4 linked regions of the Pelodiscus sinensis genome follow. The protein of the gene in region 2 purifies or fractionates together with the protein of the main gene of each other region. This does not show direct contact. Links are inferred from orthologs where the notes say so. Each region holds a gene or a part of one and is shown on either strand. Other genes may lie near its edges.

The links.
Region 1: the proteins of CCNF (region 2) and RRM2 purify together in Homo sapiens (affinity purification with western blotting; 5 studies listed by BioGRID and IntAct, with this or other methods). This does not show direct contact. The link is inferred for Pelodiscus sinensis from reciprocal best matches to the Homo sapiens genes CCNF and RRM2.
Region 3: the proteins of CCNF (region 2) and RBX1 purify together in Homo sapiens (affinity purification with western blotting, with the first as the bait; 4 studies listed by BioGRID). This does not show direct contact. The link is inferred for Pelodiscus sinensis from reciprocal best matches to the Homo sapiens genes CCNF and RBX1.
Region 4: the proteins of CCNF (region 2) and TARDBP purify together in Homo sapiens (affinity purification with western blotting; 3 studies listed by BioGRID, with this or other methods). This does not show direct contact. The link is inferred for Pelodiscus sinensis from reciprocal best matches to the Homo sapiens genes CCNF and TARDBP.

The regions. Positions count from the first base shown.
Region 1 is NC_134713.1:27,356,248-27,363,388, forward strand, and holds the start of RRM2 (ribonucleoside-diphosphate reductase subunit M2), read right to left. Parts: upstream 3,018-7,141; 5' UTR 2,870-3,017; coding exon 2,777-2,869; intron 2,689-2,776; coding exon 2,611-2,688; intron 1,126-2,610; coding exon 970-1,125; intron 225-969; coding exon 108-224; intron 1-107. UniProt on the Homo sapiens protein: Provides the precursors necessary for DNA synthesis. Catalyzes the biosynthesis of deoxyribonucleotides from the corresponding ribonucleotides. Inhibits Wnt signaling.
Region 2 is NC_134726.1:1,950,664-1,957,930, reverse strand, and holds the start of CCNF (cyclin-F), read right to left. Parts: upstream 3,003-7,267; 5' UTR 2,861-3,002; coding exon 2,848-2,860; intron 168-2,847; exon of another isoform or gene 1-167. UniProt on the Homo sapiens protein: Substrate recognition component of a SCF (SKP1-CUL1-F-box protein) E3 ubiquitin-protein ligase complex which mediates the ubiquitination and subsequent proteasomal degradation of target proteins.
Region 3 is NC_134711.1:89,607,895-89,615,734, reverse strand, and holds the start of RBX1 (E3 ubiquitin-protein ligase RBX1), read left to right. Parts: upstream 1-4,833; 5' UTR 4,834-4,877; coding exon 4,878-4,991; intron 4,992-7,840. UniProt on the Homo sapiens protein: E3 ubiquitin ligase component of multiple cullin-RING-based E3 ubiquitin-protein ligase (CRLs) complexes which mediate the ubiquitination and subsequent proteasomal degradation of target proteins, including proteins involved in cell cycle progression, signal transduction, transcription and transcription-coupled nucleotide excision repair.
Region 4 is NC_134733.1:11,715,135-11,722,717, forward strand, and holds the start of TARDBP (TAR DNA-binding protein 43), read right to left. Parts: upstream 3,015-7,583; 5' UTR 2,876-3,014; intron 2,052-2,875; 5' UTR 2,037-2,051; coding exon 1,799-2,036; intron 550-1,798; coding exon 386-549; intron 1-385. UniProt on the Homo sapiens protein: RNA-binding protein that is involved in various steps of RNA biogenesis and processing.

The sequences.
Region 1 (7,141 bases), on a different chromosome or scaffold from region 2:
GGTTTTAAAGCAGAAGACGCTCAAGAGATAAACATCTCATTGTTTTATTTGGGCAGCTTTGTTAACAGAACGATTTCTACTTCAGGATTTCTCTTCTGTATGCTTACCAAATTCTCATTTACAATGCCATCACTTGCTGCAAAGAAGGCTAGGATATGTGAAATGAAGTACTTTTCCTCAGGCTTCAAGGATTCCCAGTGCTGAATATCTTTGGAAAGATCAACCTGAAGAACAAAAGCAGGCACTTACAATTTTATCATGCTACTAAAGAATGCATTTATATAAAGCAATGTTATACTGTGTATTAAACATAAAATATTACTGCAGTAAATCAAATTATGAAGTTTAATGGGTTCCTAGAACCATGGAAAGTTGTTCTTGGTTTATGTCACTTTTTCCAAAGCTATTTTAATCCGGGCTGGGCAAGATGCAGCCTGAGGCCACATATCAAAATTCATTAAGTGCTCTCCTGTAAAAATTATTGCACACCCCTGCATTAAATATAACAATTTTAAGGCTCTAGTACACTTAATATACAGTCACTGTTGGTTCTTAACAAGCTTAGGCTAGATCAGCACTAGAAAATTAAGCTGGCCTATGTTGGTAAGGAATGACTTTTTTGCACCTTTGGCCAATAGCTAAACCTCCAGATCAAAGAATTCTTCCATGGATCTAGCTCATGGATTACCTATGCTGACAAAAGAAACCCTCACATTAGCACAGGTAGCGAGGCACTTCGACACATCATCTGTAACTCTTTGGGACATGGACCATCTTTGTTGCATTAGTACAGCACCTACTACAAAAGTTCCTGATCATGACTGAGTCCCACAGGTTTTATTGCAATGTAAATATGTTAATACTACTAGGAACACACACTTTGTTATGAGCTGGCCTGAGCGGTGAATATCCAGTGGGCATGTCCACTGAAACAACCAGAGCAGGGATACCATCATGGGAGCCTCTCACCTCTTCAGCTGTCCAGAAGGAGGCCTCTGCTTTCTTATACATTTGCCAGATATCATGGTACCGGATGGGGAAGATGACAAACCGGTGGGGATTCTCCCGTAGGAGTGGCTCATCTTCCAGATTGCTAGGAGCTTGAGTAACTGCTTTGGGTTTCAACTAAAGGAGACACAATAAGAAAAATTGATTTCCATGTCCCCAGTGTTGGTAGACACTGTGGATGTTGGGAAGAGGAAAGCGTAACCATGAATGTGATGCACTAGTTTGCATCCCATTGTGATCAGGGACAACTAGGAGCGGGGAAAGAACGTAGGGGCCAGTAGCCACATGACCCTCCCCCCTCAGGCCAAGGAAGGGTTGGGACAACCCCTTCGGCCCCAGGCCACACCCTTCCTCTTTTGGGCACTTGCTCCACCCTGCCTCTTCACCCTCCTCCCCAACTGGATGTATCTGGGGGCACTTGCAGGGCCAAGGGGCCAACCCCCCTCCCACACATACTCACAGGCAGCAGTGGGGGCAGCTGAACGTGGCCCCAGCTCACTCTGCTTCTCTGGCCATTGCTGCCAAGTGCCAGTCCCTCCTTCACATCTCTCTCCACCCCAGATGCCCAGAGAGTCTAGCCTGCTGGCTGCAGCCAGGCCCCTTGCCCCTCCCACCCGTGGAGTTTAGGTGCATGTGATGAGACTATTTTGTAGATGAAGTCAGGGGGCACGATTAGGTCTGGGTTGGGGCTTGTCTATGGCATGTGGTAACCTGTTCAACAGAGGTGTAGCTTCTAAAGGGCACTAAACTATTGTGCAGTACTTGGCCCATGCAGACCTACTAGTGTACACAAAAGGCCTTTGTTCCCCGACCCCAGGGGAAAGGGGCCCCCTGGCGGAAGGAGGGGGGTGCTCCCTACCCCAGGGAAGGGGGAGAGAAGAGGCCCCCCCGCGGAAGGAGGGGGGTGCTCCCCACCCCAGGGAAGGGGGGGAGAAGAGAGGGCCCCCTACGGAAGGAGGGGGGTGCGAAGAGAGGCCCCCCCACAGAAGGAGAGGGGTGCTCCCCACCCCAGGAAAGGGGGGGAGAAGCGGGAGTGCTCCCCACCCCAGGGAAGGGGGGGAGAAGCGAGGGGTGCTCCCCACCCCAGGGAAGGGGGGGAGAAGCGAGGGGTGCTCCCCACCCCAGGGAAGGGGGGGAGAAGAGAGGCCCCCCCCGCGGAAGGAGAGGGGTGCTCCCCACCCCAGGGAAGGGGGGGAGAAGCGAGGGGTGCTCCCCACCCCAGGGAAGGGGGGGAGAAGAGAGGCCCCCCCCGCGGAAGGAGAGGGGTGCTCCCCACCCCAGGGAAGGGGGGGGAGAAGAGAGGCCCCCCCCGCAGAAGGAGAGGGGTGCTCCCCACCCCAGGGAAGGGGGGGAGAAGAGAGGGGCCCCCCCGCGGAGGGAGGGGTGCTCCCCACCCCAGGAGAGGAAGAAGGCGGGGGGGGGGGGCTCCCGCGCGTTGGCGGGCCGCAGAATTTGGCGCCAAGGCAGAAAGCGGCGGGACCAGCCTCCCGCTGCCGCCTAGCTCAACCCGCGCGCGCTCACAGCCGCTTCCTCCCCAAGCCCAGCCCGGCCGATCGCCCGAATCCCCCCGGCTCCCCTCCCCTCCCCCCGGCCCCGACTCACCGGCTTCGCGTCCGCCTCTTGGAAGATCTTCCGCGCCGTCTTGGTGGCCAGGACCCGCGTGGCGCTGAGCGCGGGGGGCTGCGGAGACAGAGAGCGGCTGGTGAGAGGCGCCGCGCCCGTGGCTGGGGGGGGTGGGGGCGGCGAGGGGGGGGGGGCGGCCACTCACCGTGTTCTCCTTGTCGGTCAGGACCAGGTTCTTCATGGGCGACAGGCGGGGCTGCTCGTTGCGGACGGAGAACGGGGCCCGGGCGGGGATCATGGCGAGCAGAGAGAGGCAGCGGCTGGGACGCGATGAAAGCTCCGGTTCAGTCGTGCTGGGGGAACAAGGGGTGGTGGGTGCCCCGGGGACGCTTTATATTCCCTTCGAACTTGGCGCCAGAACGCCAGGCCGCCCAATCGCAACAGCGGGCACTCCGCCCGCCCCGAAACCTGCCGTCGCTGCTGCGTTCCCATTGGCTCGAGGCCCGGCCGCGGCGCGCTACCCATTGTCACAAACGAGGGAGCCGCCGAAAATTCCGACCGCTCTGCGCTTCTATTGGTCAGAAGCCTTAGGCCGGCCACGCCCCTCTTTTTAGACAAGCGGGAATCCACTTCAAAAATCACTTGCACGTCTCCTGGAGGCTTCCATTGGCCCAAAGCCCCAGCTGGACACGCCCCTGGATTGTCCTGACGTTCCACCCCCTGCGTCTGCCCCCTCCCTTTCGCACCTTTTGTTGCATTGTCTCTCCCGCAGCGAGAAGAGGGTCAGTCTTGCCTCATTCTCCCCCTCTTTTAAAGCGGGATAAGAGTCTATCGCACGGGGGTGTTTGCAGACTCGGAAAAAGTACATATGGGAAGGGGCAGGATGGGTGGCTCTGTCGCTCCAGAGCTGCTGATTCCCACAGACCAATGGTTTTTAACCTTTTTAAATGTACGGATCCATAAAAAAATAGGAATGGCAGTGCAGACCCTTAGAAATCTTAGATGTAGTCTGTGGGTGCCCAAGGGTTCCCAAACCACAGATTGAAAACCTCTGTCTTGTTTAGGGTGACCAGATTTTCTAGGTGTAAGCGGGGGAATGATTCCGCTATTGTGGGGAACTTTCCTGGCGTTTATACCACCCCGGTGAAATGGACCAGCGAAAGGATCTGAGTCCCCACTCCCACTTCCTTTACCCCATGGCTCCCCTGTTCCTGAGGGCTCCCCCTCCACCCTCCTGAGTAGCAGAGCCCTTGAAACCCCAACAAGGCTGGGCCCAGGTTTCCTGGGGCTTAATCCCCGACCTTGTAGTCACTAGGGGCAGGAGTTAGGGTGTCCCCAGTCCGAGGTGCTCTCTTTACACTGCAGGCCGCCTTGGCCCAGTGATCACTTCATAAGGTTCAAAGCAAATACAATTTATTAAACATCAACTGATTAAAGAGAAAAGAATAAGAAAAAATGAGAAAGGTTAAATGAGAACACACAGCCCTGCTCTGTAGCACAGGGACATCAAAACAGCAGTCTGCAGAGTGTAAGGACAGTCCACAGTCTCTTCCTTAGAGGCCCCTTAGAGGCCTTGGATGTGCTGCGGGGGGGAGGGGCTGCAGGCTGGACACGCTTGCTCTGGCAGTGACCACACAGCCTCAAGCTCTAAGTGGCCAGACCCCTCTCCCAGTCCAGAGCCTCTCCCCACACTTTGCAGTTCCCCTCTGCTCACCACATCCAGCTGCAGGCTGAGCTTCTTGGCCAGTCTCTAGCTTCTTGTGTTGCTTCTCTGTTCCTTTTGGCTCTCTGAGCACTGCCAGTCTGCTGCTCAACACAGGGTCTGCGCTCCTTGAGCCGTGTGTGTCTGGCTCAGCTGCTGCAAAAACTGCCCCTCAGCACACAGCTTGCACTGCTTGGGCTGTCTCTCAGCTCTCTGTTTGCTCAGAGAGAGTCAGAACAATCCCAGCTCACAGGGAGGACGGGGCCTGGCCTCTCCCCTTCCTCACTGGCCTGTCCAACCTGTCAATCAGGCTGAGCTGGAGTGTTGGCTGCTTTCCATTGTCAGACTCATGTCCCTTCTGAAACTGGGAGCTGGCAAACCAAAAAACTCCCACAGAGTTTTAGTAAGGGGTAACAGTCCCCTTACATAGGGACAGTCTTGCTGTTCTGGGCTTTTTTATAATTAGGGGTAGTATATCCCCCACCCCGTCCTAGTTTTTCCACTATTTCTATTTGGTCACTTAAGTCATGTTGCAGACCACTTTAGGGAATGCCCTCCCGCTCCCACCAAGCACCAATAAACTCAAGAACCAGGGAAGTACTCCTTTGGTGGATGGTCCCAGTAGTTTAGGAACCAGAGAAGATTTAACCCTTCTTCTGTGCTCCCTTTGTCTCAGATGCCCCAGCAGGATATTTTGTCTTTACTCCTCCTGGCTACGTCTAGACTGGCATGATTTTCCGGAAATGCTTTTAACGGAAAAGTTTTCCGTTAAAAGCATTTTCGGAACAGAGCGTCTTGATTGGCACGGACGCTTTTCCACAAAATCACTTTTTGCAGAAAAGCATCCGTACCAATCTAGACGCGCTTTTCCGCAAAAAAAGCCCCGATCGCCATTGTCGCAATCGAGGCTTTTTTGCGGAAAACAAATCTGGGCTGTCTACACTGGATTTTTGCCCCAACAGGAGCAGCATAGTATTTCCGCAAGAACACTGACAATCTTACATGAGATCGTCAGTGCTTTTGCGGAAATTCAAGCGGCCAGTGTAGACAGCTGGCAAGTTTGTCCGGAAAAGTGGCTGATTTTCCAGAAAAACTGGCCAGTCTAGACACAGCCCCTGAATTAGTGATATTTTATGTCCTGAAACATGATGTCTGTAAAAATAATGGTGGGTTGTTCACTATATATTTGAGAGAGTTTGTCGATCTGTGTCCGCCTGAATCTGTCTGTGTGTCTGTTGGTTCAAGAACTCCTAAACCGTAAGAGCTAGGGCTGCCAAATTCAATGTGCAGCTTTCTCTTACCATAACTTAAACCAAGGTAAAGGTTCGGTTGTGCCTGGAAAACAGGTTGTGGGATTGCTTCCTACAAAACCATACAGAAAAGACAGCATCACTAGACACATGAAAGGCGCTGGTAGGCGGTGCACACACCCCCATTCAGGACTGCCCCAGTCCTGAGTCTCTCACCCCTCAGGTGCCATTTAAGGAGGGTAGAGGGGCTGCAGGCCTCCCCCCCCCCCCCCATTCATACAGGTTCATATAAAATCATACAGAAAAGAGATAATCACCAGGCATGTGAAAGGGGCTGGCTGGGGGTGTCTCCCCACCTCCCCAAACTGCCCCAAGTCCCAAGCCTTTCACCTCCCAGTCATCCTTTAGAGAGGGAGGATGGGAAGGGCTGAAGTTTTCCTCCACCCCCTGGATTCATACAGGAATATTGCTGGCTGTTACCCCAGGGGAAAGTGCACAGTTTGCTGAACTTCTCACTCTGGCTGGGGAGCGCAGGACACAGATGAACCTGGACCTGTTCAGTAGAGCGACATGTACCCTTCTCCCAACTGTGCCCACTGAAGTTGCAGTGGCCATAGAGAGGTGTTTCTCACCTGTCCCCAAGTTGCTGCACAAAGAGAGGGCTAAGGTAGTCCTCTCTCCCTGGGGCAGCCTGCATACTGAAACCTTCATCCCCAGCTCCAATATTTTATTTTCCAAAACACAATAATTAATTGAGTTAACGACTTGAGCAATGCCGGGTAAGTCTTGTAGTATAACTATATTTCTTAAATCTTTTCAATGCCTCAGATATATCTTGTGGCAATGAGTTTCATCAGTCAGCAATTTGTACATGCTATATGTCTTACCTTCCCATTAAATGCTCTCCCATTCAGATATAATTCAAAAAGTGAAGTAGGACAATCCTGTTGATCTTTTCTGTGTTGTTCATTGTTTTGTATACCTCTATGACATTCTCTCTTATCTATACTTTCTCTTCTGGCATAGACAAGGTCAAAAGCCTAGATTCTGCAAAGACTTAAACATGCAAAATTCATGCACAGGAATAGTTTTAACATATGTTATATATGTGCTTAAATTTTTGAAGGATTAGAGGCACATGAAGAAAAGCTGTACTGTCACTTTCATCTCAGATTTTGCTGTCATGTGACCAAACTTTGGCTTTAGGGTGGACCATGGGAGAGTATACCCTTCCCCGCATACACACACACACATTCTCGCTCATTCACTCACTTGCTCTCGCTATGTCTACACTATGGAGTTTTTTCCGGAATACTGGAGGTATCCCAGAAAAACTCCGCCATGTCCATGGAATGCAACATTTTTTGCGGAAAAGCAGACATACTCTTTCGGAAGCCCTGCAAACCTCGTTTCACAAGAAAGAAAGGCTCTTCCGAAAGAGGAGGTTTTTCTGAAATTTGGCCCAGTGTAAACAGGCCAAATTTCAGAAAGGCCTCTTCCGAAAAAACAATCGGAAAAAGGAGTGTAGTGTAGACAGCCTCTGATTGCTGCTTTTGACTTTCTAGGAAAATATGTGATGTATGCCACTTGATTTCGGATGTTTCTTCTTTTTTCAAAT
Region 2 (7,267 bases):
AAGTACCCCTCTATCTAGCAAGGGCTAGCAACATTTCTCCAGGTAGAGAGACACTCCGTAAGACTGAGTAATACAGTCCCTAGACCTGGGTATTTCCTAATGCAAATGAATAGGTATCTGCCTAGGGGGGGAAAAAGCAACGGGCCACCTAAAATATCCAAACTGAGTAAAATGCAGGACAATGTAGCACTTTAAAGACTAACAAGATGGTTTATTAGATGATGAGCTTTCGTGGGCCAGACCCACTTCCTCAGATCAGATTTTTGATCTGAGGAAATGGGTCTGGCCCACGAAAGCTCATCATCTAATAAACCGTCTTTGTTAGTCTTTAAAGTGCTACATTGTCCTGCATTTTGCTTCAGCTACCCCAGACTAACAAACTGAGTATGTATCCTATTAATACTTTGGAGTTTCCAGGATAACTATTCTAACTAAACATCCATTCTCCTCCTGGTAATAAAAGGCTATATTAATGTAATTTAAAGGGCAATTCTGATATGCACAAATCACTAAATTATTCTCATAGGTATCTCCCCCCCTCCCCCCAATTTCAGCAAGAGAACTACTGCAATGTAAGAAGGAATTCATCTCTAGACTGGCATGCCAATTAAGCCTGTATTCAGAACTGAAACTGACCCACAGTCCAGGAAATTGAATCAAGCAAGACTAGATGGTGGACAATATAGCTCTAGTAGCCCAGAAGTTATATTACAGTGAGTTAACTTTAAAATGGCCTCATACACTATTAACATATCTACATTGTGTATACAAGCTGCATTTCTAATATTTTAAATTCAGGTACTGACTAAACAACAAAAGCATTCCAAAATACATTTAGCAAGCAAAGATAGTGTATTTAAGAAGCAGATCTTCTAGTGTTATGTACCCCATAGCAAGAATCAGAAAACATTCAACTTGGGTGAAGTATTCTAATATTTCTGTCCAATTAATGCAGAAAGTGTAATAAAAAACCCTTTCCTCTTAAAATAAATCTGCCTGCAACAAAATCTACTTGGTAAACCCATTTATAGTTTTTGGCAAAAAAGTAATTCATTAGATGATCTGCAAGCAGTTCACTATGCTCAGATGATAAAAAAGCAAGTTTTGTCTGCTCTGGACATAGGAATCCTTAGCACTTGTGTAAAATTAGGGGAGCTTGCTCCTAGGCTTTTGGTCATACATTCTCCTTTTTCCCTCCATAAGTGTGCCAATTAGCTGCTTCCCTCAGCCAGAGGCAGCCATATTAAATTAGGAATTAATATTGCAGTTTGTATATTATTATATTAAATTTGAATTATCTTTGGACATGAGAGAATGGAGGGTTGCTTAGAGGTCATATTTCAATTGTAGATGTTATCATGGCAAAGATAAAATGAGACTTATATTGAAAAAAACAGGGAACTGCAATACTTGAGTCTGACTTTCAATCTTGTGACCAGCCTGAAATGTCAAAAATCCCTCTAATTCTGAATTAAACTTTTAAAGTATTTTTATTCAAGTCTCTGCTGTTGATGGGGAATTTTGCAATGTGTATATTTCAGTAATTTACATTTCATTCAAACACCCTGTCTTTTGAAGCAAAATCTCATCTGTTCCCTGCAAATCTTGCAGCCACACCTTCATTTCATAAATTATAAAGTAAGGTTATCTTGTGAAACTCTCTGGGTTGATGAGAAACCCAAAGTGACCAAGATAAGACTAGCAGCTCTTTTCTCAAGTCCTGGGTGCCCATGCAGGAACCATGAGTGAGTCCCCTCCCCCTGCAGGCAGCGTCCTGTCCCACTATAGGCTCGGTTGATTTTTAAATCCACCCGCCTAAACCAGTGGGGCTCCCTCTCTTTGGAATTTAAAAATAAAATCTAAAACACACTCTTTTATGAGCACAGGGGAGAAGTAAAAAGGACAATAAGGAGGTGCCAGAGACCATCTGGGGACATGGAGGTGAGGGGATTAGCCCATCAGATGCTGGGAAGGGTATTTCAGACACTACTTAGCCCTCATGTCTCAAATCTGAGAATGCAGGGTCCGAGGCTCAGAGAAACATGCAGCACCCATCCCAAGGACACCCCAGAAAACAGACAGCAGAGCATCCACCCTGCTGGGCTTAACCCCCCCCCCCCCCCCAGCCCCACATGAGGCATCTGGAGTTTGCCAGGGCAAGAGCCCCCTAACCACGGGCTGGCAACCCACTCCCTGCTGGAGCCCCCCGCACGGTGACCCCCCCCAATCCCTGCAGGACCCCCCCCGCACGGTGACCCCCCCAATCCCTGCTGGCCCCCCCCCGCACGGTGGCCCCCCCAATCCCTGCAGGACCCCCCCCGCACGGTGGCCCCCCCCAATCCCTGCAGGACCCCCCCCCCGCACGGTGGCCCCCCCGATCCCTGCAGGACCCCCCCGCACGGTGGCCCCCCCGATCCCTGCAGGACCCCCCCGCACGGTGGCCCCCCCATCCCTGCAGGACCCCCCCCGCACGGTGGCCCCCCATCCCTGCAGGACCCCCCCCCGCACGGTGGCCCCCCAATCCCTGCAGGACCCCCCCCGCACGGTGGCCCCCCAATCCCTGCAGGACCCCCCCCCTGCACGGTGGCCCCCCAATCCCTGCAGGACCCCCCCCCGCACGGTGGCCCCCCAATCCCTGCAGGACCCCCCCCGCACGGTGGCCCCCCAATCCCTGCAGGACCCCCCCGCACGGTGGCCCCCCCAATCCCTGCAGGACCCCCCCCCGCGCAGTGGCCCCCCCCCATCCCTGCAGGACCCCCCCCGCGCAGTGGCCCCCCCCATCCCTGCAGGACCCCCCCGCAGGGTGGCCCCCAGAGAGCCCAGCCCGCCGGGCGCGGGGACGCTCACCGCCCGCTTTCATGCTGCCGCCGGGCTCGCGCTGCGCGTCCCCAGGGAGCCGAGCCGCGCCCGCCGCCAGCCCGCTCGGAATGAGCCCGGCGCCGGGCACGAGGGGCGGGCCCCAGCTCCACGGCCACGCCCCCAGCCCAGCGCGCGTCGCGGAGAGCGCGAGGATCCACCCCCTCAGGCTGCGCCACGCCCCGAGCGCGTCGGACTCCGGACTCCACGGGAGGCTCCGCCCACCAGCCGCGCGCACTTTTTTTCAAACTCAATTGGCGCTGTCATTGGCCGGCCTGCGGACAGGGCGGGACCTCGCGCCCGCTCCCCGCCCCGTCATTGGGCGCTCAGGATGCGGATTCGAATTGGGGCAGTTGGCGCGAAGGGCTCGCTGGGAGTGGGCACGTGCTCAGGGACACCGGAACTTCTACCTCGCCGGCCGGCGTGGGGAGGCGGCGCCTAGTGCCAGGCAGGGAGTCTCCCGCCCCTCCCCCCTCAGCCCGCCGGGGTCTCCCGCCCCTCCCCCTCCCGGGGCCTCCCGCCTCAGCCCGCCGGAGTCTCCCGCCCCTCCCCCACTCCCGGGGCCTCCCGCCTCAGCCCGCCGGGGTCTCCCGCCCCTCCCCCTCCCGGGGCCTCCCGCCTCAGCCCGCCGGGGTCTCCCGCCCTTCCCCCACTCCCGGGGTCTCCCGCGCCCCTCCCCCCCCGGGGCCTCCCGCCTCAGCCCGCCGGGGCCTCCCGCCCCTCCCCCCCGGGGCCTCCCGCCTCAGCCCGCCGGGGTCTCCCGCCCCTCCCCCCCGGGGCCTCCCGCCTCAGCCCGCCGGGGTCTCCCGCCCTTCCCCCACTCCCGGGGTCTCCCGCCCCTCCCCCCCCGGAGCCTCCCGCCTCAGCCCGCCGGGGCCTCCCGCCCCTCCCCCTCCCGGGGCCTCCCGCCTCAGCCCGCCGGGGTCTCCCGCGCCTCCCCCACTCCCGGGGTCTCCCGCCCCTTCCTCCCCCCCCCCCCCCCGCGTCTCCAGACCCCTGTGGGCCGGGACTCCCGCATTCCCTGTCAGTCTTTCAGGCTAGGAGTCTCAACCCTCCACCCATGCCCCGCATGACCCTACGCTCCTGCACCAAGCAGGTCACAGCTGTGCTGGCAGGGATGCAAAGCGTTAACCAGTGCGGGCAGGAGCAGCCCCCAGTTTAACCAGTTAACACTAGCCGGGTGCCCTGAGGATCTGTTCTAGGACCGGTTTTGTTCAACATCTTTATGAATGACCTGGCTGAGGGGATGGATTGCACCCTCAGCAAGTTCGCAGATGACACTGAGCTGGGGGGAGAGGTAGATATGTTGGAGGGCAGGGATAGGGTACAGAGTGACCTGAACAGGTTAGAGGATTGGGCCAAAAGAAATCTCATGAGGTTGAACAAGGACAAGTGCAGAGTCCTGCAGTTGGGATGGAGGAAGAATCTCAAACATTGTTACAGGCTGGGGACTGAATGGCTAAGTAATAGTTCAGCAGAAAAGGACCTGGGGGTTACAGTGGATGAGGAGCTGGATATGAGTCAACAGGGCACCCTTGTAGCCAAGAAGGCTAATGGCATATTAGGTTGCATTAAGAGGAGCATTGCCAGCAGATCCAGAGATGTCATTATTCCCCTTTATTTGGCTCTGGTGAGGCCGCATCTGGAGTATTGTGTCCAGTTCTGGGCCCACACTATAGAAAGGATGTGGATGCATTGGAGAATCCAGCAGAGGGTGACCAAAACGATTAGGAGGCCTAGGAGGAGAGGTGGAGGGATTTAGGTTTGTTTAGTCTGCAGAAGAGAAGAGTGAGGGGGGATTTGACAGCAGCCTTCAACTTCCTAAAGGGGGGTTCCAAAGAGGATAGAGAGAGGCTGTTCTCAGTGGTGGTGGATAGCAGAACGAGGAGCAGTGTGGTCTCAAGTTACAGTGGGGGAGGTCTAGGTTGGATATTAGGAAAAAGTTTCCCTAGAGGGTGAAGAAGCACTGGAACGGGTTACCTAGTTAATTCCCTCCATCCTCACGATTTATTCCTACCCTTTGTTTCCTATCTTTTAAGTGGAGTGCCTGAAAATGTTTTCATGATCATCTAGTGATCCTTCAATTAATGTAATGACAAGCCTTTTGTTATCTTAATTACTCTGACTCCCTCTATTTATAAATAAACTCCCTACCCCTCAAGGCAAAACTGGGAGCAGCACAAGCTCTGCTTCAGTTAAGAGCTTTGTCGGGGGTCAGGGCATGCACTTTAAGCAGACGTCAAGTTTGAAATTCAGGGGTTCATACTTGGGAGGAGGGGAGGGTTAGAGCCCCTCCACACTATCTAACTGGTACCTCTGAAGAGGAGGCTGCATGCTGTAACTGGAGATTGAGATATGTGATCCTTCTCTGAATTCTAATCCTGACCTCCTTCCCCTTAGCCACCAACTCCTCTACTAACTCATAAGAGGGGAACTGGCGCAGCATCAACCTATGTTGCCTCCTAAAGCTTCACATGCACCATACAGCTGGTGCACAATGCATGTGCGGGCCAACGGTCTCTCCTATGAACAGTTCTGGCACCTGGTGCCATGCACACTCATATTTAGAATCCAGTTAGGGGCCACACATCATGAAGAAACTACAGAAAGTAACCTTGTGACGGGGTGCCGTCACAGACGACCCCTCGGGGGTGCCTCCCGGGGTGCTGACACGGCCACTGCCACTCGCCTTCCTGCTCTCTGGGGCTCCTCACTGCCCAGTCCTGCTGGGCCAGTTCCTCTGGTCTCCCCTAGCCAAGGCCCTGAGCTGAGCTCCCTGCCCCTATGGAAAAGCAGTACAGACACTGAACCACTTCAGATCCAAGGAGAGTGCAGTTTAGGGCCCAGCCTCCTCAGAGAGCACTCCCCAGATGGGATCAAACCCCAAAGAATTAGGTAAGCCCCCTTTAGCAATGAAAGGGGGGATGTGCACACTGGTTGCCCCCCCCAGGTAACAGTCGCTTACACTCGGTTTGATAGAAAATAAAAATGGTTTTATTAAGTTGAAGCAGTAGGATTTAAGTAGTAATAAGAGAGAGGAGGCAGAGCAAAGTAGGTTACAAATCAAAAGAAACAAAACAGCTTGGCTAATTCTCCACTGAAACCTCAGTGCAAACTTTTCCACCTGCCACTCTAAACCAGGGCTGTCTTCCCCACCCTGGGGTCTCAGGATCCTTCCTCCAGGTACAGCCCAGCCAAAAGACCCAGTCCTCTACTTTCCTGTCCCTTTTGTTAAGGAATTGATGCCACTCCCTACCAACCACTGCTCAGACTTAAGGACAAAAGAGTGTTTAACAGTGGCTCATCTAGAAGTTGCAGGTAACACCCTCCATGTCTCCCATTCACACATTGGAAATTCACAAATTATTCCTCACTCCCTGTGTCTAATTTTACACACACAAATGATACATACAACAGAGTAAGATAAACAGAACCAGCAGATCTTGACATGAAGATCGATGGGTTGCATGAAATAATTTGCTCACACCACTTTTGAGTTATATATATTCGTGTCCATGAGTCCATTTCATAAAGCATGGGGGAATCCGTCACACCTTCCCATGAAACTACTGCTGGAGGGTTGGACAGTGTTCAGTGCAGAGGTAGTGTCTCCTACATCCCCTTTCCTGGACAGGGCGTCTGCCACCGTGTTTTCCTTGCCTTTTATGTGCACGATCTCCATGTCAAACTCCTGTAGAATCAGACTCCAACGCAGCAGTTTCGAGGTTGTGCTCCTGGTTCTGTTCAGCCATATCAGTGGTGAATGGTCTGTAAAAATTCTAAATCTCCTGTTGAAGAGGTAGGGTCTCAACTGTTTGACCGCCCACACTATGGCGTGACACTCTTCTTCTATGACGGAGTAGTTTTGTTCAGTAGGGGACAGCTTTTACTTAGAAAGGCAACAGGGTGCTTCTTGTTATCCTTCCCTGTCTGCATAAGCACTGCCCCCAAGCCACTGTCAGATGCATCAGTGCACAATTCAAATGTCTTATCAAAATCAGGGCTGGCTAGTACAGGCTTTGCTGACAGGAGCACTTTCACCTCATCAAAGCCCTTCTGGCAGGCCTCTGACCAAACCACCTTAGTAGGTTGATGCTTCTTGCACAGGTCCGTGATGGGGGCTATGATGTCGCTGAACCCGCCCACAAACTGCCTGTAATAATTCACCATGCCTATGAAGAATTGGATCCGTTTCTTACTCTGAGGTACTAGCCAGTTAACGATGGCTTCCACCTTAATTGGGTCAGGTGACATTTCTTCGCCCCCCCCCCAATGTCCTAGATAAGGGACCTTGGCTGCCCCTATCTTACACTTGGAGGGTTTTATGGTCAGACCTGCCTCTTTAAGTCAGGAGTAGGTGCTCCTTGTTGTCCTCCCAGGTGTTGCTGAACACAGCAGTGTCATCTGTATA
Region 3 (7,840 bases), on a different chromosome or scaffold from region 2:
TTGAAGGAGATTTTGCTTCTCACTTGTGTGGCCCCCAACTGATGTTTTTGTGGGTCAGTGACCCTAGACCCAAAAAGGGTTCTCCACTCCTCCCTTAAATAAAGAAAACATTGAAATATTTTGTGTTGCACATAATATGTTACTTTATTTAAAATGAAGTTTGGTAAAATAACACGAGAAAGTTAAAACGCTTAATCTATTTCATAATTTAAATTAAACTGTCCTTATTAACTGCAGCTGGTTCAGAAAATAAGGTCAGGATACCCAGCAAGGTAGTTCTCAACCCTGCCCCTTCTGTCCAAGGCCTTGCTCCTTCCTGGTCAGCCCGTGTCCACTTCCAAAATTTGTGAAGTGCCCCCCCTCCAAAATTATTGCCCACCCCGCTTTGGTTCTTATCAGGAAAACAGGCTGCAAGAACTGGGGGAGAGAGAAGGGAAATGAATCAAAATTGGCATTGAAATCTTAACTAAATAACTTAGAATTTTTGTTTAAAATTTTCAGTCTTTACTTTGTGGTAAGGTTGACTGTGCTCCTTTTCTGCATTTGCTACCACTCACTGTATGCTCGTCTCTCTTGCAATCCTAATTTTATGTATCCAGTTTCCTTACCATAATAACGGGAACTGCCTTTCCTTGCAATCAACAAGTAACTGATGGCCAACAGTACGCAGGATGAGGATGACCCTATCCAGAATCAAGGGTGAACCTCTTGCTACATAAGCATGTCAGTTCTCAGCACAAGAAGAGGATGCCCTATTCCATTTATTCCCCATTCCTTACCTGCATAACATCCAAAGGCATTCTCTGCATTCCTGACATAGTTCTGATGTTTCCCCTCTGCCAGGTACACCAGTGCTTAGCCTTCAAGGTTTGCCCACCACTGCTGGTTTTTATAGAGCTGTATCAGAAGCCTTAACTTCTTCAAGGATCATTCCATTTATTTCAGGAGACGCACTGCCACAGCATACAAGACAGGATATACTGGCACAGCAGGAGCACAGTTGGGCTTTCAAATCACAATAGTGAGCTGGGACTTAGCATTGTGATGTACTTTGGTCCTACCGGATAAATACAAATTACTGGCAGCTCTTTAGCCTCTATTATCCCAAATAAAGAGACGTGGCTGGGATCTCAGTTCCCTCTAAGGTGCATGCCTCTGCGGCCATGCATGAAGAATTCTAGGCCTGCCCACCTCATCTGCAGGGCCTGGAAAGTGACTGGCGAGGTGGGTTCTAGCTCCTACAGCTGCCATGTGGCCTGCTGCTCTGGCAGGTGGGGCTGGGGCCGCATGGTCGATGGCTGCTCCGGGAGCTGGGGCCAGGACTGCATGGTGGGTGGGTGGCTGCTCCGGCCAGCTCTGGCTGTGGCTGCATGGCAGACAGGAGGCTACTCCGGCCAGCTGGGACCAGGGCTGGGGCCATGTAGCAGGTGGGTGGCTGCTCCGGCTGGCCGTCCAGAACCGCGACCATGGCTGCGTGGCGGATTGGTGGCTGCTTCGGCCAGCCAGCCAGAACTGTGCCTCCCATCTGTGTCCCTTCTAGTCTGTTTTTCTCTTCCCTTTTTTACCTCCATCCCTTCTCCAGCCACTTCCCTGTCGTAAGAATTCTAAGTAAGGCTATAACATTTTGACTAACCAGCCTACCAAACAAAGAACTAGGATTTCTCTTCTCATGCCCCCTCTGGCATTACTCCAGATCCCCCACCCTTTCCCAATATAATAACTGTGAATTGTTTTGCTCAAATAATGTTGCAGAAGAAAATCAGAATTTAGGAAGACAGCAAAAAGTATTGGGATGAAACAAGGAACCAGTCCTATACCACTGAAGTTAACTAGAGTTTTGCCATTAACTTAAAAGAATGCAGATTAGAGCTCAAATGTTGTGGCTTCTACCCTTTGCAAAATGGTTATTAAGGGTATCTGAAAATAGTTTTCTTTCTGTATCTGTTGTTAGGTAAGATAGTCAAGCATGATGTGACTGAGTTTAAGTTCGCGGTTCCGGACGGTCATACTGTGTACAGATGTGGTTTCCTCACCTCAAAAAAGAAATTTTGGCCTTGGAAAGGGTTCAGAAAAGGGCAACTAAAATGATTAGGGGTTTGGAATGGGTCCCATATGAAGAGAGGTTAAAACGACTGGGACTTTTCAGTTTAGAAAAGAGGAGACTGAGGGGGGATATGATAGAGGTATATAAAATCATTAGTGGTATGGAGAGGGCGAATAAAGAAAAGTTATTAGTTCCCATAATAGAAGAACTAGAGGACATCAAATGAAGTTAATGGGTAGCAGGTTTAAAACTAATAAAAGAAAGTTCTTCTTCACACAGCGTGTAGTCAACCTGTGGAACTCCTTGCCAGAGGAGGCTGTGAAGGCTAGGACTATAAGAGAATTTAAAGAGAAGCTAGATAATTTCATGGAGGTTAGGTCCCTAAAAGGCTATTAGCCAGGGGATAGAAATGGTATCCCTGGCCTCTGTTTGTCAGAGGCTGGAGAAGGATGGCAAGAGACAAGTCACTTGATCATTGTCTTCGGTCCACCCTCTCTGGGGCACCTGTCAGCAGACAGGCTACTGGGCTGGATGGACCTTTGGTCTGACCCAATATGGCCGTTCTTATGTTCTTATGTAATCTAAACTTCCACATGTACCAATTGGACAAAATATGCCTGTATGGTTTGTTTAGTCATTAGATCATCTGCTAAAAAATTCTGAACTCAAATTAACATTAATATAAAGCTGTCATATTCCATTATGCTAGATGTACATCGCTATACCTCAGTTTCCCCTCTGTAGAGTTGTGAGGTCACGTGCATTAGCGATTGTGAGGAGGTCAGACACTGGAGTGAAGGAGGGCAGTGTGAGTTCCTTGATAGACAGACTGCATATGTCCCATTGAGGCTGGGGGAGCTCCATTAACACAGGCTGTGTAAACCTGAGCTCTGATGCCTTCAGGAAAGAGTCACGCTTCCCTCTGTTGGTGTAGCTTCTCCCTACCTGGCTGTGGGTCTCTTTCCATGTTCTCCTCACATTGGAACTAACCAGCCCCTTGGGTCTATCTCATGCCTTGTCCCTCATTTGTCTCCTATGGTCCCGGGGGGGGGGGGGGGGGGGGAGAATAGCTGCAGCACAGTGTTAATTATACTTTTAGTATTCTTTCTTCTATAATGTTTATATCTAAAGATATTTGTTAGTAACTGGTGGGTGCCAGTGACACACATCTGAACATGCACACGGGACCTCAATATTGGTGCACAAGACAAAACTTACTCTGCTCAGGATGGAAAATCTTAGCGGGAACACTGGATGGGATGTCATTCAACACTGCAGTGCTCCTTATTCAGTAACCAGAAGTCACTGCTCAGCTACACAAAGTACAAGGCACCTGGAGGAGAATTTAAACACGTTGCCTCCCATAGCATTCCCAACACTCACTTTGAAAGGAAACAAAGACTGAACAATTTTCCTGGCCCTGGGGCAGTATGCAACAGCCTAAAGTCACCAAGGTGAGATTTTTTTTTCCACTGAAAAATGTGCTTTGCAAATACTTGTCAGAGACAGACTGAGCCTTAGGGCAGGTCAACACTAACCCATGGAGGCATCACAACTGAAAATGAGCTAGACCAGCATCAATCTAGTGCAGCGGTGGCCAACCTGTGGCTCGCGAGCCGCATGTGGCTCTTCAAAGGAAAAATTGCGTCTCTTCTCACAGTCCCTTGCTCTGACCTTTTCTTCCTTGTCTGGGCAGGGCGCTGCTTGGCGCAGCAAGATCTGATGCTGCGGCTGACAAAGGCCTGCTTGGGCCACATGTGGCTCTTAAAGGGGCAGCAGTTTTTTTGGGGGGAGGGGGTTGTTTGTTTTTTGGTTTTTTTTTGCACAACAACTTGTTTTCCTCGGCTTTTTGCGCTGTATCCACCACTATTTTGGCTCTTTGTAATGAGTCGGCCACTCTGTTCTAGTCTCCTGCATGGTAGCACAGAGCCTTTGCCAGCCACCACTGTCCCCTGCTGACAGGGAGGCACTCTGAAAGGCCATGGGAAGCTGCGCGTGTTTGGAAGGAGAAGATTTACATTTTTTTCGAAAGGCCCCTTTGGCAAAGAGGAGCCCTGCTGAGTATTTTAGTGTGACTCGAAAATGCTCATTGCTAGGGGCACAACCGAGTGGGTGCAGAAGACTGATGGGCAGGACTAAAGGCACCCAACTCTGCCTTCTCGCCAGGGCAGCACGAAGCGCTCAGCACCCGACTGGGCCGGTCACTCTCCTGCATGTCGGCTTCTGGAGAGGAGCTAAGCGCCGGGGAGGCAGCAGCGCCGGCGGCGGGCAGGGCTCCGAGCAGCAGCAGGGCGGCCCAGGCAGGTGCATGTGTGTGGACGGGCACAGAAAGGAAGATGGAGGCGCAGAGCCCAGCGCTGCCCCACTGCCAGCTCCCCGCTTTGCAGCGCAGAGCGGCGAACAGCCTCCGTAGGCACCGGCCCGGGGCAGCCACACGCGGCTCGGCCCCGCCGCACGGAGCCCCGGCCGGTTCCAGCACGAAGCTCTGGGTCGAGCGCGGCCCGCAGCTCTCTCCAGGGCGGGGCAGACAGAGGGGAGGGGCGGGGCGGGGCGCCCACCAGCACCCCGGCTCTCGGGCGAGAATTCTTGCGTCGCCCTTTAAATGCTGCTGCCGGGTTCATTCCATCCCCCCGCCCTAAAGTTGCGCAATTCTGTCATGCGGGCGGGGGAGGCTGACTAGGGCTCCGCCCTGGCTGGCGCCTTTAAGAGCTCAGCGTCACATGATGCTTCCTTGCGATCTTTCCCCTCTCCCTCCCTCCCCTCACACCTGTTTGCGTGCGGGGCGGGGCGAAGGGAAAAGAACTGTCGCGAGTCTTTGGCCCTTTTCTCGCGCATGCGCACTCTAAGGGGCTGGGAGTCGGGTATCAAAATGGCGGCAGCGATGGATGTGGACACCCCAAGCGGTGCCAACAGCAGCGCCAGCAAGAAGCGCTTCGAAGTGAAGAAGGTGTGGGTCTCCGGCGGGCGCCGCCCTGGCAGCCGCGGGAGAGGAGGGGGGAACGGGGCGGTAGCTCCGGGGCGAGTTTTGGTCTCTTCAGAGGCCGGCTCTCCGGTTCCGCACTACGCACGAGTGGGCGGGGCTCTGGGTTTCTGGCGCAGTCCGGGGCCAATAGCTGAAGCGGGGTGACTGTACGTGGGGGACGGAGGGACCAATCAGTGGCGCTGTTGTTGCCGGGTGACAGCAGCGTGTGGGGGCGGGTCTGTGTTAGGGAGGTGTCCGCTCTGTTACAGGGAGTGGGCGGTGGCGTCCCCCCTTGAGGGCGGGGCTGCGCCGCGGCTCAGCCTGTTCCGTCGGGGCGATGCTGCGGGGCCGGGGCGCGGCGAGGGGGCGGGAAGTGTCGCCCCGAGGGGACGTGGCCGTGGGCAGGCTGCCTGGCGCCTCTGGTGTGGCCTTGAGCCAACGCGCAGCCACCCGCCACGGGCCCTCGCAGCCGCTTTTAGTTGGGTGATGTGAGGACGCTCCCGCCCTGAGTGGGTCTGGTGGCCGGGTGCGGGCGCTTTCTCCCTGATCCTGAATTAATTTTCGGCGTGGCGCAGCCCCCCGCCACCCCCTCTCCTGACGGCGCTGCTGTTCTTCTGCCGCAGGCCTTGGTTTCCCTTTCCCACCCGTTGACCTTTGCTTCGAAGCCTATCCAGGAGGGAAGACGTGTTTGTTTCTTTTCCTCTACCCCCAAAAACAAATCGTCAGGGACCCAGCGAGCATGGCAGCCCAGGAGTGGGCCCTGAGTAATAAAGCTTAATGGTGCCCCAGTCCTCTGTCTCCCTCAGACACCTGAGTGGCAGCAGTGGTGGCTGCCCCGTGCCAATACTGTGCAGTTTTCTACATGACTGTGGGTCAGACTGGTGTATGCTCAGTGAAGTTTGTCTTAGGTGCCCTTCATGTCAGAACTCTCCTTACTCGAGTCAAAGCTCCTAGTCATAGGCTTATTGGGTACTCTAGCCTTGCCCTATGGGCATGAATAACATCATCACCAGAAATTAAGACTAATAGCTGATTGGACCAGCTTCTTTCCTCCTTTATAGCAATATTGGATTTACTGAGCTAACAGAAGTAAAATAATCAATAAAATCCAGATTTTTTTAAACCATAAAATTAATAGTTATGACTTGAATACATCAAGTCTGCTGAGTAAAAAGGCTTTTACAGGTTTGCACAATAATTAATTCTCAGTTTAGAATCACACTTTAATGATAGAAAATACAGGACTATGTAGCACTTTAAAGACTAATAAGATGGTTTATTAGATGATGAGCTTTCGTGGGCCAGACCCACTTCCTCAGATCAAATAATGGAAGAAAATAGTCACAACCATATATACCAAAGGATACAATTTAAAAAAAATGAACACACATGAAAAGGACAAATCACATTACAGAACAGAATCATAGAATAATAGGACTGGAAGGGACCTCGAGAGGTCATCGAGTCCAGCCCCCCGCCCTCAAGGCAGGATCAAGCTCCGTCTACACCATCCCTGACAGATGTCTATCTAACCTGTTCTTAAATATCTCCAGAGAGGGAGATTCCACCACCTCCCTTGGCAATTTATTCCAATATTTGACCACCCTGACAGTTAGGAATTTTTTCCTAATGTCCAATCTAAACTTCCCCTGCTGCACTTTAAGCCCATTACTCCTTGTCCTGTCCTCAGAAACCAAGAGGAACAAATTTTCGCCTTCCTCCTTGTGACACCCTTTTAGATATTTGAAAACCGCTATCATGTCCCCCCTTAATCTTCTTTTTTCCAAACTAAACAAGCCTGGCTTCATAGGTCATGTTCTCTAAACCTTTAATCATTCTTGTCGCTCTTCTCTGTACCCTTTCCAATTTCTCCACATCTTTCTTGAAATGTGGCGCCCAGAACTGGACACAGTACTCCAGCTGAGGCCTAACTAGTGCAGAGTAGAGCGGCAGAATGACTTCACGAGTTTTGCTTACAACACACCTGTTGATACAACCTAGAATCATATTTGCTTTTTTTGCAACAGCATCACACTGTGAAATTTCCCCTTCCCCACCTCTATTATCATTAACTCACTGGCATTCACCTTCCTTCTCCTCCCCCTCCCCCCCACATCCTCCTTCTGTTCTGTAATGTGATTTGTCCTTTTCATGTGTGTTCATTTTTTTTAAAATTGTATCCTTTGGTATATATGGTTGCGACTATTTTCTTCCATTATTTGATCTGAGGAAGTGGGACTGGCCCACGAAAGCTCATCATCTAATAAACCATCTTGTTAGTCTTTAAAGTGCTACATAGTCCTGTATTTTGTTTCAGCTACACCAGACTAACACGGCTACATCTCTATCACTTTAATGATAGGACCATGTATGTTCTTGGACCAGGGAGTCCTAGTTGCGAACCCCAGTGGCAAGAGGGCTGGCGGCTTGGAGCTTGGTGGGGTTGGGGCTGGCGGCTGGGGCTAGCAGCGGGGAGGGAGGGTAGCAGGGGACCTTTTCTGGTCTGTCAAATTCCATCATTTGGGGCCAGTTAGGTCCCGAAAGTGCTAGACCAGAGAGGTCCAACCTGTATTCAAAAACCTACACTGGAGCCGCAGATAGGCCATCCAGTTCTTTGTGCTAGCTCTCATGACATTTGAAAGAAGGAACTTGAGTGCAGCATGGCATATTTTAACTAGTTGATTGTCATTGTGGTGGCAGTGGTGACTTATTAGTAGAGCTGCTGCATATGGTCATCCCTAATGGTAACTTATTGGTAGGGCTACTGCTCATTGTGGTATTTTCCATTTGGTCAAGGAGATCTGAATTGGTTTTCCAGTACGATTCTCACTTTC
Region 4 (7,583 bases), on a different chromosome or scaffold from region 2:
CATAAAACATATTGATGAAACTTAAAATTCAGTCTTCAAAAACACTACAACTACCATAATAGTAATAATAAATTAACATGTAAGCACAAAACCCAATCATCACACAGCGGGCCATATTCTGTCTCATTTACACTGTTACAACAGAATTATTCCCTTTTCAGAAACAAGTCTTGATATGGGTCAACTACCTGAACACATACCAAGATATCCCCAAGAAAAAATAGCACACTGCAAATAGTGTAAAGCAAATTTTAATGTTACAGTAGTTAAAGATGTACTCTTTATACTACCCAAATTGCTTTGTACTGGCTCAAATAGAAAAACGTTTAAGTTAACGGAATTCAAATTCTGACTTAAGTGGAGAGGCAAGTGCAACAGAGTTTACCTGAACCATGAGAACTTCTCCAAACGTACTAAAATATTCCTTCAAATCTTGTTCAGTGGTTTTCCAAGGAAGACCCAAAACTATTAAATCGGATGTCTTTTGTACAGCTCGTTTTACTTTCACAGCTGATGAGGCATCCGTTTCATCCATTTTTCTCTTGTTATCTAAATGATACACATCAGAAACTGTCATCTATCTCCACAACACATGAAGGAAAGCTGCTTTCATTGGTCAGAAGCAGCATAGTACTAGGATCAGATCAGTGAAGAACAACCAAGACTAGTGAGTGGGCTGCATGATTGCCAGTAGTGGGCAACTTGCGGCCCTCGCACTCGCTTTCTGCCTCCTTCCTGAATGCCTCACACACAGTGGAGAACTGGACCCCCCATACATCCTATTCTTCCCCCTCCCTCTAAACACTTTTGGAGCATCAGGAATCCACTGAATTCATGCTCAGTCCCTGTTCCTCCTCCATCTTGAACAGCCATGAACAGCTGATTCATAGCATTCAAGTTCTGAGAGGGAGGGGAAGGAGCAGGGATGGAGTGTGAATCAGCAGATTCATGGCGCTACAAAAGTGCTGGGAGGGAGGTGGCGGTGAAAGAAGAGATAGGCTCCAGTGCCCCAGTGTGCAAGAGGCATGGGGAAGGGGGCAGATAGGGGACATGCAGGCCTCAGGTGAAATCCCAGTGGGCCATATGCAGCCCATAGGCTGCCCATCACTGGATAGATCCTTTCAGGATGTATCATGGAAGCTAATAGGGAAAGATACATATTTATTATTATGTTATAATACACATCCAACTGCCCTACAGTATTGGGATAGAAGTTCAGAAGACAGGCAGACACAAATGCATCTAAAAACACACTTTCAGCATGTTTTCCATTGAAGTACTGCCAAATAACATTCACATGCCTGACCAGATTTTGTATGCATTATATATACTTTGAAAAATGGCTACTCAAATGAAAACGGAAAAATGCTCTCCTTACTCTTTTTTTTCTTTTTTTGGTCATCTTTCACCTTTCCCACACCTTCTCTTACAACACTGATGTCATTGGTTCTAATCATGCAATTTCACGTGGGCAAACCTTAGCTCTGCACAAAACTCACTGTAGGATAGGACCTTTGATAACTCTGTGAGATTGTTAAAAGTCTTACAAAAAGTAAGGTAAAGTTTTATTAGTAAAGCACCTTGTAGAATTATACTAAATAATACTCTCATGAATGAGAACGCTCAAAATCACTCTGTGGGTCAGGCACACACATTCATGTGAAAAGGACTAATTTGTAGTTGTGCTATGGTTTGACAAGAGGAAAACAAAAAATAAGGAATCTCTAGCTCTTGATGTAAAATTCCTTGTAATTAAGAAAGCATGGCTGTACCAAATATTCATGGAACAAAAACAAACCTTTGGGATAATTAACAACATAGACCAGATTTCCCCAGCCAGCATCTGGGGCATGCAGAATTCCTTCCACTAGCCGGACTCCTCTCATACACTGAGACACTGGATTCCTGTAACGCAGGCCACATGCTCCAGGGAACTGGGCAGTAACTGTGGATAGCAGCACAGTGCCATCATCCTCTGAGGGGATCTCAATGGGCTCATCGTTCTCATCCTCAGTAACACGGATGTATTCGGACATCTTTGCTGGATTTTACTAATAGAGTAACAAAAAAAGCAGGGAGGAGATCAGCAATTTTTTTACTCCAATTTTATTTTTAATCCTAGCTTCTCTGCAAAACACCGACAATACTTTTTTTGCTAGGCATAAGGAAACTATCAAGTGAGGTTGCATTTTATCTTCTCTAAGCTTTGTGTGTGTTACGTTCTCACAACGAAGTGCAAGGTGACATGTAAGCGGAATGCTGGGAAAGGAAAGGGTGTGAATAAAGGGTTTGCTTACAATTTGCATTGATCTCACCAATCACCCCACTGAGGGGGCGAGGCGAGGCGCACCCCTGAGTGGGACGGGGTAGAAGGGATGAGCCAACAGGTACTGCTGGGAAGCGAAAAAGAAGGGGGAAAGCCAAGGACCAGACCAAAGTAGAGTGGGGCGGGGGGTGGGGGGTAAAGCGAAGGGGAGCAAGGATCAGACAATGCGAGGGCAGAGGCCCAACCATTTCTCAGGTGGAGGGGGGTAAATGTCCTGGTCACACTGGGGAGACAGGGAGCAGAGGTCAGGCCACAGAGGAAGGGAGTCAGGACCAAACCATTACCCGGAGAAAGGGGTGAGGACCAGACTAGATGGCCTGCCGATACGCTACCCCTAAATGAGGCCTAGTTTATAACCACCACCCCCTCCCGCGGGCAGCTAGGCCTCGCCACCCAGCCCTTCCGCGCGCGCTTCTGCCCGCCCCGTCAGGCCCAGCCGCTCTCGAGCTCCGGGCTGGGCCTAACTCCCCGCGGCTCCCGACCCGCTCCGACAGGCCCAGCCGCGGTTGGGACTGGGAACGCCATTGCCTCTAACTCTGCTCTGCTCACCGGGCTGGGGAAGGGGGCCTTACACGGGGCGAAAGGGTTACAGACACCTCCACCTTCCTACAGCCGCCGCTGACAAAATGGCGGCCCTACCGGCCCCCAGAGGCAGAGACCGGTCTGGGGGCGAACTATTCTTCCCTCGGAGGGGGGAAGCTGGAAATGAACGGAAAAGAGCAAACGCCGGGAACGTGGCCTGCTTGGATCTGCGTAAAGAAGCTCTCACACCGTCCTCAGTGTACCTCGCTCGGGATGTGCGGAGCCGTACCTCCTGACAGGGACAGAAGCAAATCTGGGATTGCCCTCACACACACCCTAGAGGAATGGTATGATCCGGCCTACCAGCAGCGCGCATGCGTAAGGCTGAGGCAGAGGCGAGATGGGGAGGGGGAGGAGGAGGAGAGGTGAGGTGAGTGCGGGGAAGGCCTTGGCGCTGTTCCCCTTGAAGGACGTTGAACGGCTAAGGGAGCGTTGCGTGCCCGCTGCTCCAGTCGAAGCTCCTTGTGGAAGAGGCATCCATCATAACTGCCTAGTTCTTTCATGGGGCTGTTGATTCTACTGTATTTGCATAGTTGTTAGGTTTCTCCTGCGCTGACAGTATTTAAAATAATGAACACACGTCTCTTGGTTCTCTTACAGTGTTAAGTTTGTTACAGGTAAAACCCAATTCTGTGAAAATATAAAGGCAATTTGAAGTCCAACTACTAGGGATCTTCCATCATGCAGCGCTTTCCATTCAGGGCTCAACTAAATGATGTGCCACAGGTAGGGGCTGCTCCTGTCAGGCCAGGCACCAGTTAACTGGTTACTCTGGTAAGCATGCAGATAAGGCAATGCTTACCAGGTAACCGGTTAACTCTTTACATCCCTACTCGAGGTTCCTTTCAGTTCTAGGATTCTAGGCAGGCAGGATCTCAGAACATATGAAGGGGCAGGAAAGGTGAGTTAAATGCATCAAAGGAGACAAGGGTGAATGAAGCCTTTTGCTTGGATTGCAATGAAGAATCAAGTAAACAAGTTATGCAGCTTTCAAAACTCTTTTGCCGAGCGTTTTGTGGAGGGATTTTTTTTTTGGATGACTGAAATAACTGTAAAGCTATTAGACAAAGTGTTAATATATGTATGAGATAAGTGTGACAACAGTTTCCTGCTTAAAGATAGGTTGTACTTTGAGACAGGAGCTCAGAGCTCAGTTTGGTCTGAGTCTTTCAAGAGAGCCAAAGCTACTCACGTGGATACTGTCTAAATGCATATTGCATTTCATCTCATTCCAGCCCAGAAAAAGAAAGGTCCCACATGTTAGATTGACATCATAATTCTTACACAATGGTTGACAGATTTGAGTCTAGGGTTGATAAATGGCACTGCATAATCTGTATTTCTAAAATAAAAATTGGTTTACTTGTAGCTCATTTCATTCTCAAGGTGAATGCAATAGTTACTGGTATTGTGATGACTGCACAGGCAAACCTGCTAATCATTGTTTGCTCAGCAATGACTCTCAGACAGATATGCACATTCAATACTGTTTTATGAGAGGGGAAATGTAGGTAGGGCATGTCTCCTTTATTTAAATAATATGGTGTGGGATTTTCCATTGTCACTTTAGTTTGATATCTTGTTCGAAAACTAGTACTTCTAATAGCCTTGTCATGCAGTCTGATCCCAGGCAAGAATCCCCATTGTTTTATGCTGAGCAAGATCTACTTCTCTTAACCCTTTGAGATACACCTAACATGCTGTATGCAGGCATTTATTTGAACAGCACCTTCTGTAATGTTATACAGTAATGTTAGTGGCACTAATTTTGAAACCTCAGGCACCTTGTTATTCATATGCCCTCCTTTTGTATCTTGTGAGGATTTTTCTCGTTCTCTGTTTTTACTGTGGCCCTTCCCTCTTGATTTTAAAAAGAATTGGCTAAACTAGACCGAAATCTGGACAGGTTAATGTGCAGATGAGTTCTTCATGGAATCATCAGCTTGTGGTTCCCTGGAGCTTTGCATAGGTTGGGAGGTAAACTATTCTATTTCTGAGTAAGAAGGAATCTCATTTGAGCGCTGAATTCCCATTCACCGATACGTCTTTCTCATTTCCTCACTGCTATGTTGTGGGGAAAGTGGTAAGGAGAGGCTAGAACTGTAGCTGCTAGTAGTGTAGAACTCTTCAGATGTTGTCGTTCTTTCTACAAGAGGTTGTGAGGTTCTGCTTCATGAATTTCTTTGTGGCAAAAGATGTTTGTATTGACTCTTATAGAGAAGACACAAGACTCACTAGCAATGCACATAGAAGGGATTCTGTATTGAGACTACTGGATGCCTATGATCAGATTATAGGACAGTCTGCACCTCTGTCCCTTTTCTGGTCTCTCTCACATGTTAGGTCTTTTGCCTTTACCTTGCTGGGATGGAATTTAGAGAGGGTCCCTTTTGATTCTGACAGTTCTTTTGTTTGTCCTGTGTTTGTGGGTCTTATCCTGTCCTGGTAAGAACCATTTGGGTAGATTGGCTGGAGAGGAGGCAAAATCACCAAAGCTAATAATAGTTCTTGCATTGTCCCATAATAGGTCTTCAGTGTTTGCTGAGAGGTGGCTATCTCGACCTATTCTTTTCCTTCTGACATGTTTTCCCAGAGAGCCTCCTGTTGAGTTAAACTCTTAGACTGTCAACACAGCGACATTATTTTTGAATAACTAACGTTATTCCAAAATAACATGGTTCACGTTCTACACAGCAAGCAGTTATTTCTACATAATGTTGAAAGACCTATAATGTCAAGTTGTAGGACTTTTTACTCTGACTCCTGTAACCCTCATTTTACGAAGAATAAGGGAAGTCAGAGGAAGAATGCTTTAACTTGAACTTCCTGCTGTGTAGACAGCGCCAAAAGCTGAAATAAGCTATTTTGACTTGAGCTATGTAATTGATGTAGCTCCAGTTGCATAGCTTATTTTGGCTTTAGCCCTGCTGTGTAGATGTTCCCATACAGGTCAACAGAAAACACCCCACTGCTCAGGTCTTACGCATAGTGTTGATAAATCATGACAGAGAAACTACACATTTATCACATATATGGTACCTGTAGTTCTCCCTTGTTAACACAGCCTGTGCTGCCTATCCTAACTGTTCAGGATCACTCTAATTCTTGCAGTCATTTAAGGGACTGCTGACTGCATGACAACATTGAATGGTGTGTTGTTTTTTTTCCATCCCCATTATACAACTCTGGATTTCCAAGAAGCACAAGAAGAGGGAGAAGCAATTATTGTTAAAAATGTTCCCATTCCCACCTGCTATGGCTCCATTAAGGACAGCAATCTTCTGTTTCCTATAGGGTAGCCCTCCAGACCCATTAAACACTCACATTTTATACTTTGCACTGATACTACAACACATTAATAGCTTTTACACATTTTAATCGCTTTTTATGTGCCTGGATAATTGCCCTTCCACATTTCTGTACATTATTATTAAAAGATCAGAATAAAATGATAAACTCAATAATTAGTCCATCAGTCTTATAAAACAGTTACCCTAGCTGCAAATCATATGCCAGACATCTGTAATGCAATCATTTTTCATTTCAAATGTATACGAACAGGAAGCCATATAATGCAGTCATTTGGGAGGTTTGTAAGAAGGACTCTAAATAGTTCTGGCTGTTGTCTTCTTTACAAGACAAGTGGAGAGAAAACTTTCAATGTATCTTCCCCATGCAACTCTCTGTGTAACTTAAAACGGATGGCTGTACCATCCTATTCTGGGGAGAAAGTACAGTTCCATTTCAATATTCAGTTGTGCTTTTGGTAAAATAGGGCTGGAAGGTGCATTGAGAAGTCATCATGTTCAGCCACCTGCACGCTGGTAGGACCAAGTAGACCATCCCTGGTCTATCCTCCAATGATGGGTATTCCACAATGTAATTACCTTTAGAGGAGCAAGTTTTTCCAAATATCTAAGCTGTAGATTAAGTTAATTGCTTCTTGTCCTATCTTCCATGAACACAGAAAACAATTGATCACCGTCCTCTTTATAAGAGCCCTTGACATATTGAAACAATTATTAGATCCCTCTTTAGTCTTTTTTTTCTCAAGATTGAACATGCCCAGTTTTCTCACTGGTCAGGTTTTCTAAACTTATCATTTTCATTGCTCTCATTTGCATTCTCTTCAGTTTATCCACATCTTCCCTGAAGCATAGCAGCCAAAATTGGACACAGTACTACAACTGAGACCTCACCCATGCTGAGTAAAGGGAGACAGTTACCTCCATACAACACTCCTGTTAATATACCCCAGAATATTAGCCTTTTTCATTGCTGCATCAGGTTGACTCATTTGTGAAGCATTATAATCCCCAAATCTTTTCAGCAATACTACTATTGCCTAGCTAGTTATTCCCCATATTGTAGTTGTGCATTTTCCATCCTAAGTGAAGAGATTTGAACTTATCTTTATTGAATTTTATCTTGTTGATTTCAGAGCAGTTCTCCAATTTGTCAAGGTAATTTTCAGTACCAGTCTTGGCCTCCAAAGTACTTGCAGCCCCTCACAGGTTGGTGCCATTTGCAAAGTTTATAAGCATACTCCCCACTCCCTTATCCAATTCATTAGTGAAAATACTGAATAGTGCCTGGTCCAGAACTGACACCTTAGGGATCCCACTAGATACACTCTCCTAGTTTGACAGTGAACAACTCATAAATGCTCTGTGAG